Linked DNA regions of Sus scrofa. The protein of the gene in region 2 interacts with the protein of the main gene of each other region in a pairwise test. Links are inferred from orthologs where the notes say so. Each region holds a gene or a part of one and is shown on either strand. Other genes may lie near its edges.

What was found.
Region 1: the proteins of ZGPAT (region 2) and CCDC57 interact in binary tests that used the Homo sapiens proteins (3 or more experiments, as listed by UniProt). The two-hybrid records come from large-scale screens. The link is inferred for Sus scrofa from reciprocal best matches to the Homo sapiens genes ZGPAT and CCDC57.

What each region holds. Positions count from the first base shown.
Region 1 is NC_010454.4:818,153-822,133, reverse strand, and holds the start of CCDC57 (coiled-coil domain-containing protein 57), read right to left. Parts: upstream 2,801-3,981; 5' UTR 2,629-2,800; coding exon 2,004-2,628; intron 1-2,003. UniProt on the Homo sapiens protein: Pleiotropic regulator of centriole duplication, mitosis, and ciliogenesis. Critical interface between centrosome and microtubule-mediated cellular processes. Centriole duplication protein required for recruitment of CEP63, CEP152, and PLK4 to the centrosome.
Region 2 is NC_010459.5:62,647,488-62,650,987, reverse strand, and holds part of ZGPAT (zinc finger CCCH-type with G patch domain-containing protein), read right to left. Parts: intron 769-3,500; coding exon 635-768; intron 408-634; coding exon 252-407; intron 1-251. UniProt on the Homo sapiens protein: Transcription repressor that specifically binds the 5'-GGAG[GA]A[GA]A-3' consensus sequence. Represses transcription by recruiting the chromatin multiprotein complex NuRD to target promoters.

The DNA of each region.
Region 1 (3,981 bases), on a different chromosome or scaffold from region 2:
CTGAATCCACCGAGTGGGGCCAGGGATCGACCCTGCATCCTCATGGATACGCGTTGGGCTCGCTACCCCTGAGCCACAGCGGGAACTCCTAAACCCAGTTTTGAACACACGCTGACATGTGGATCTAGAAATAGATACAGATGTATATACAGGGCGTGCAGTGTCCTGGCTCCCGGCTCCTCCCGCCGAGAAAGCCAAAAAGCAATGACACTCCAGCAGCACACCTCCCCACATCTTGGTTTATGGAAAACACCTTCTCAACTAAAAGGAGCCAACACTCCTCACAGAAATGCCTGATTCCAGCCTAGGTCAAAGAAGCACTGATGAGTCTGGGACATCTTTTGGTGTCAAACATGAGGAGGTGCTCAAACTGTTGGGGACAAGGACACAGGGTAAAAGGACATAAAAACCAAACAGAACGGGCCAGATCTGGACAACAAGAGCACCAAAATAAATGATAGGAATGGATTATAACCTGTGAAACAAACATAGAATTAAAATGTCTACACCAACATAAACAACTGAATAAATTAAAACATGGAAGATTCGTCCTTACGGTAGAATTCCCACTAATAGGAGTTCCTGTCATGGCTCAGCGGAAATGAACCTGACTAGGAACCATGAGGATTTGGGTTTGATCCCTGGCCTCACTCCGTGGGTGAAGGATCCGGCGTTGCCGTGAGCTGTGGTGTAGGTTGCAGACGTGGCTCAAATCTGGCATTGCTGTGGCTGTGGTGCAGGCCGGTAGCTGTAGCTCCGATTTGACCCCTAGCCTGGGAACCTCCACACGCTGAGGGTGTGGCCCTAAAAAGACAAAAAAAAGAAAAAGATTCCAACTAATAAAAGCAGAAGAAATAATGTGAATGGAAATATCATCGCCTGGCAAGTACATTTATAATTTTTTTCAGAAAATGCTCACCTCCAGATGACTGGCAGTGTGGTTAGAAACAAGCTATGTACATAGTTTCAGAGTATCTCCCCACAAAATATTTACTATAGATAAAGGGGGAAATGGAAGCTTAATGATGCAAACACCTTGTAGATATCACCTAGGACAAAGGACCAAAGTTAGTATCAGAAGTAATAGGAACATCTAGACACTTAGGATGGAGGACAATGTGACAAAAAGAAAGTACACATGTGTGTGTGACTGGGTCTCTTTGATGTGCTGTAGAAAACTGACAGAACACTGTAAACCAGCTATAACGGGAAAAATAAAAATCATTTTAAAAGAAGTAATAGGACAAACTGGCATCATGTGCCTCCTGAGAGGGTGCAGAGAAAACACCATTCCACTGGTAAGGTTTTTCTCACCAAAAATACAAGTTATCGTAAGGGAACTTTGATAAACCCAAAGTGAGGAGCATTCTGCGAGACAACTGACTCATAAAGGTCAAGGAAAGACTGGGCAACTGCTCCAGATTAAGGAATGAGAAAACGAAGAAAACACGGATGGTCCTAGCTTGGATTCTGTAAACAGGTAAAGTCGTCGCAAGATAACTGCTGAGTTTGAATAAATCCTGTATATTTAGACTTTTGCAACTTGTATGTGAGTCTCAAATAACAAAGAATCACTCTGGACCAGCCTGCCTGGCCTTGGACCCGAGCTCGCCGGCTGCGGAACCGGCTGCGGAACCCGCTGCGGAACCCGGCAAAGCCTCTCGGCTCCGCAGCGCCCCGCTCTTCAGGCACCTGGTAGGGGCGAGTTAGGGAACCGCGAGTTCCCAAAACAAAGCGCGACGCCCACGAACGCCTCCAGTGCCCCGACCCCGGCGGCCGGCCGGGCGCTGCAGGGAACAGATGAGCAGGGAACAGCCCTAGCTCGGTGAACAGGGCTCCGCAGGCCAGCACCAATCGCGCACCCAGCCACGCACGGTGGGCCGGCACGACTCCGGTTTTCCAAGGAAAGCACGACACCCGCAACAGGTGGCCCGAGAGGCCGCGCCCTCCCGCGCTGCGGTCCCCCAAGCCCTGCACCGCCCGCGCCCGCGCCCGCGCCTCACCCGGAACGCCAGCCGCGAGCAGCCTCTGGTCCCGCCGCGTTGCCATGGTGACCTGAGTCCGTCGGCCGAGGTCCGGGCGCGCTCGGTGCAGCGCTCGGGTCCCGCCGGCCAGAAACGCGAGCTCCGGCGCCGGGTTCCGGGCTCCTCCCGCCCCCTCCTCCCACCGGACTCGGGCGGATCCGCCCAGGGAGGAAGGCCTCGGACTATCCAGGGCCCGGGGTCCTGGGGTGGACGGGCGGCGGCCGAGGCTCCTCGCAGGGACGGTCCTCCCTCGCCCAGCGGGACTCCGCGATCCCGCCCGCCTCGTAGCCCCGGGCTGTTGGTGGCTCCGGACGGGGCGGGGCGGGACTGGACCTGGCAGCGGTGGGGCCCGGGATGCGAGGGGCGTGGGGGTCCTGGGGCTGCACGTGGGCTGGAGCACAGTTACCGCGGGGCGAACGCCCGGGCCCACAGGACGTGGGGCGTCTCTCCCTGCAGCGTGGCTCCTCCAGCCGTAGAAGAGGCCGACACGGCATCCCGGGCGAGGCCGCTGGCCGCTGGTGCAGAGCGGGGGATGCCCTTTGTTCGGAGCTGTGTTGCACAGTGTGCTTGGCTTGTTTGGATTCTTGAGTTTGTGTGCCCTCATAACCTGTGCGTTTGGTGTTAATGTGTTCAATTAAGAGTTAAAAAAAGAAAAAAAAAACTCTCACAGAGGCAACAAGCAAACTTTACGCCAAGGCCCCCACCCGTGCTTAGGGACACCCTCCCCAGCATCCGAGGTTCCACCCAGGCTGAAGGGAAGGCAGCTGTCCCAACCAATGGAGACACCCACGCTCAGCCTCCCCGCCAGTGGCACCACAGGGCTCCGGGCAAGGATGGGCACAGAGGGGTGGGGGGGGACACAGTCTTGGGTCCAGTCCCTCCTCTCCAACGGTGTTTTCTCCACCCTGGCAGCCTTCTGGCAGCCCAGGGCAGTCCCCAAGCTGGTCCTGCCACTCCTGGATGAGCATCCCAACCTGGCTGACAGTAAGAACGGCTCTGCTTTAGGAGGCAGCTCTTGAGGGAAGTCCAGGGGGTATTAAATATCAGGCAGATCAATAATTCAAGACCCGTGGAAAGTGGAAGGTGTGAGCCTATGGGTGCAGAGAGCAGGTGAAAACAGCTCGGCCTGCCTGGAGGAGCCACAAAAGGTTCCCACGACCTTTAACCTACATCCTTCAGGCCCTGGGCAACCTTGCTGCCTCCAGACCTGGTTACCTGCCTGACAGTCCTGGTTCGAGTCCTAGTTCTACTTGTGGTTGCCAAGAGGAGGGGATGGCGGGGACTGGGGGTTTGGGGTTAGTAGATGCAAACGGTCGCACTGGGAGTGGATAAGCAATGAGATCCTGCTGCACAGCACAGGGAGCTGCATCTGATCACTTGCGACGGAACCTGATGGAGGATAATGTGGGAAAAGAATGTATGTATGCGTATAACTGGGCACTTGCTGTACAGCAGAAATCGGTGGAACATGGTAAATCAACAATAGTAAACATTTCTTTAATTTAATTTTATTTTTTTGCCTTTTAGGGCCGCACCAGCGGCATATAGAAGTTCCCGGGCTAGGGGTCGAATCAGAGCTACAGCTGCTGGCCTACGCCACAGCCACAGCCACGCAGAATCCGAGCTGAGTCTGCAACCTACACCACAGCCCACAGCAACGTCAGATCCTTAACCCACTGAATGAGGCCAGGGATGGAACCCACAACCTCGTGGTTCCTAGTCGGATTCATTTCTGCTGCGCCATGACGGGAACTCCCAATACATTTTTTTAAATCCTAGCTCTGCTTCAGCCTTATTACAACTTTCTGGGACTCTGCTTCTTCATAAAGCAGGGACAACGCCCAGTGGATGCCCATGGATTTGAGGATCAGAAGCTACACAAGGGCTGGTTCAGCCCCGGGGAAGGGGCTCTGGGGTGTGTCTATGCAAAGCCGAGGGGCCAGAGGACGTGCTCCTT
Region 2 (3,500 bases):
GCTGTTGCACACAGCCCCTCCTCCACCCTCCAGGCACCCAGGCCCTGAAGGAGCGCCCTCTGCGCGTCACGCATGCCGGTCCCTTCCTATGCGCCCCCTGCCCCCGTGGCTCGTGTGGGACCCCATGCCTTCTGGGCTTCTCCGTCTGTGGGGCTTCGGACCTGCCCCCCACGCCTGCCTGCGGGGCTTTCCTCCCGCCAACGCAGTCCCACCCCACCTCCCTGCTCTGGGGCCCCGAGCCGCAGCCACACCTCGCGCATAGCTGGGGTCGTCCGCGTCGCTGTTGTCTGAGTCAGAGGACCCCGTGGGCTCCGTGCGCAGTGGGGGTAGGATGCTGTCCCCTTCCACCACGGCCTCTTTCAACAGCAGAGAGTCAAACTTGACCGTGTAGTAGCCACTGTCCACATCTGGAGGGGCACCAAGGCAGCAGGTCAGCGGCTTTGACTCGTGGTAGGAGCCACACTGGACACTGGGAACAGGGTGGGGATGAGGCCAAGGGTGGCCTTGCTCCTCCTGGGCATGGAGTGGGGTCCCAATGCCCAACGACAGGAGGGGGCACCCGGGACTAACACTGTGACATGTGCAAGGGCTTCCCAGGAAAAGCCCCATCAGGGAGGCCCCTGGAAAGCCTCACCAGTGATCCGTGCTGGGTACCAGAGGCCATCCTGCTGCTTGGCCAGACACGCAGAGCCGGCCTGCAGGGAGCTCAGGTCCGGGTCCTGGAAAGGGCGCAGCTCGTCCACAGAGACCACCTGCCCGTGGGAGAACCTGCAGAGGGGACCGCAGAGTGTGGACTCAGAAACGGGCCGCCAGGGCCCATGAGAGGCCAGTCGACATGCCTGGGCGCTGCCCGGAAGAGAGGGATGGCCAGGGGAACAAGGGCAGCCACATGCACGTGCACAGATTGCACATGCCCGAACACGCCCACACACTGAGCACAGGCACATATGAATGCACTCATGCACAAACCCAGGCACACGTGTGCACACGCATGTAAACACCAACATGTGTACAGGCATACGTGCACACACCCACACAAAATACACATGTACAGCACACACGTGCACACTCTCTCACACACACATGCACAAGTGCACCTCTACGCACGTGCATACAGATGTGCACACAATACACACAGATACACAATCATGCATAGATGTGCACGCGCGCACACACAGCACATACACCCGTGTGCACACGCACACACCCGTGGTACATATGCACACGCGTGTGTGCACACACATGCATAGGTACCAGGCTCCCACTCTCAGGACAGACCCGGGTACCCCAGGGGCCAGGTGTTGGGAGCCATTCCCCAGCCTCCAGGCTAGTGCCACGAGGGGGCTGGCAGCCACCCTGTGATCAGAACCACCTGCTCCCACGGCCTCCTGGCAGACGCGGAGCCCAGACACTAACGGGCGATCAAGGCGCGTGTGTCCGCGTGTGTGCACAGGGCTGCCCTGGCTTCTAGGCATCCGTGAAACCAAGTGGACACCAGAACAGAGGGAGGAGGAGGAGGTGTGAGGACAGAGCGCGGCGACCTTTCACTCTGCCCAATCGCGACACAAAGGAACCACCCGCACATCTCCTCCGAGCCGCCACCATCTCGGGAGGAAGCCCTTCTAAGCCTCGAGGGCATCCGCTCCAGGACGGGGCACCAGCTGCTGGGCGCGGATCCGGGGTGAGAAAGGTGAGGAAAAGAAGGCATTTTCGTCATCTCCCGGGGGGCACAAAGCTGGCCTCAGACGCCTCCCGGGCAGGATTCGGTTCCTTCTCGCACCTGACTGTCCTCAGGCACCCAGGGCACTGCCAAAGATCAAGCGGCACCAGCAGCTGCGAGACCAGGCCCCACGTGTACTGCAGGGGACGCTGTGGGTGAAAAGCCCTGTTCATCTGAGGAAAGAGGCCTAAACCCAGGGTGCATTTGGCCCCTGCACACCCCACACCCCCCAACAAACCTCTCTGCAAGAATCCTCAGGAACACGAGAAGCCCTAAAATCCGGCAGCTTTCTTAACCGGGCAAGTGCTTCTAAGAAGCGGCCCCACGAAATAACAGTGAGGCGTTGCCACTGCAGTGCAGGAGCTCCCGAATCCGACTGCAGCGGCTCCGCTGCAGCTGCGGCTTGGGCTCCGTCCCTGGGCCAGGAACTTCCGTGTGCCGTGGGTGTGGCCGTAACTCAGCATCGTCTTCGTAATGACAATGAGGAGAGTCCCGCAGACTTAGCCACAAGCACCTTCACCAACATGAAAGACTCGGAAATAACCCACATTTCCAGCCATGGGGTGAAGGGCGAGCGTGGGAGGCCGGATGACCCGGGGCGGGGGTGGGGGGTGGGCGCACAGCCGGGAAGAGGCCCCCTCGCGCCTGCACCTCAGGCGGGACCGAGGCGTCTCACCGCCCAGTCGGGAGAAGAGGGACGACGGACGGCTTTCGTTCACGAGGACAGCGTTAAAGATGGGTTCCCCAAACCCGACCCCCCAACGACCCCCCACTATACTCGCCACACCACACTCCAGAATAAGTACAAACTGGAGCCAGAAAAGCAGTGTTTAGAAGGGTTCGACACCAGGGCGCAGCGTGGTTTAGCCCGGGAACGCCAGGGGGGTTCAACGTGGGCGACCCATCCAAGGAGACGGCGCCCGAGCGGAAGGCAGCGAAGAAACACCCCTTCACACCACGGACACAGAAGGATAACCGAAAACCCCGACACCCTCGCATGACGAAAACACTCCACAAGCCACGGGTAGAGGGAACTCCCTCAGCCTGATAAACAGCGTCTGTGGGGAACCCACAGCTGCCATCACACCCAGCGGTGAAAACCTGGGTGCTTCCCTAAGCGCAGGAGCAGGACAAGGACGGCTGCTCTTGCTGATCTCATTCAATACAGTACTGGAAGCCATTTAACAAGAAGGGAAATAAAAACCACCCCACCTGGAAGGGAAGAAGCAAAACTCCCTATTTTTTCAATGACACGGTTGCACACATAGAAAATCCTAAACAGGACACGCGGGCTTTAAAGGGTTAGCCTGCCAGGGCCCCCTTTGCCTGGCAAAGCAATAAAGCTATCTTTTTCTCCTTTATCCAAAAAGAAAGAAAGAAAAAGAGAAAGACCTAAATAATCCACAAAAAATCCTATGAATCAATGAACTCGGCAACGTTAGGGATACAAGATCAACAAATAAAAGTCAGTGGTGTTTAAACACACTAGCAACAAACAGTCTAAAAGTGACACTGATTTCATTCACGACGGTGTCAAAAGGAATAAAATACTTAGAAGCATATATAACCAGAGCTGTGGACTACACAACACCGCTGCAAAGAAATCAAAGACTTAACATAACTGGAAGGAGACCCCACCTTCAAAATTAGCCGACCTAAGACTGTTAGGACGGCAACACCCTTCAAGCTGACTGAGATACTCAGTGCAGTTCCTACCACAATTCCAACCATCTTTTACCCAGAGACGGACAAGCTGATTTTAAAACTCCCAGGGAACCGC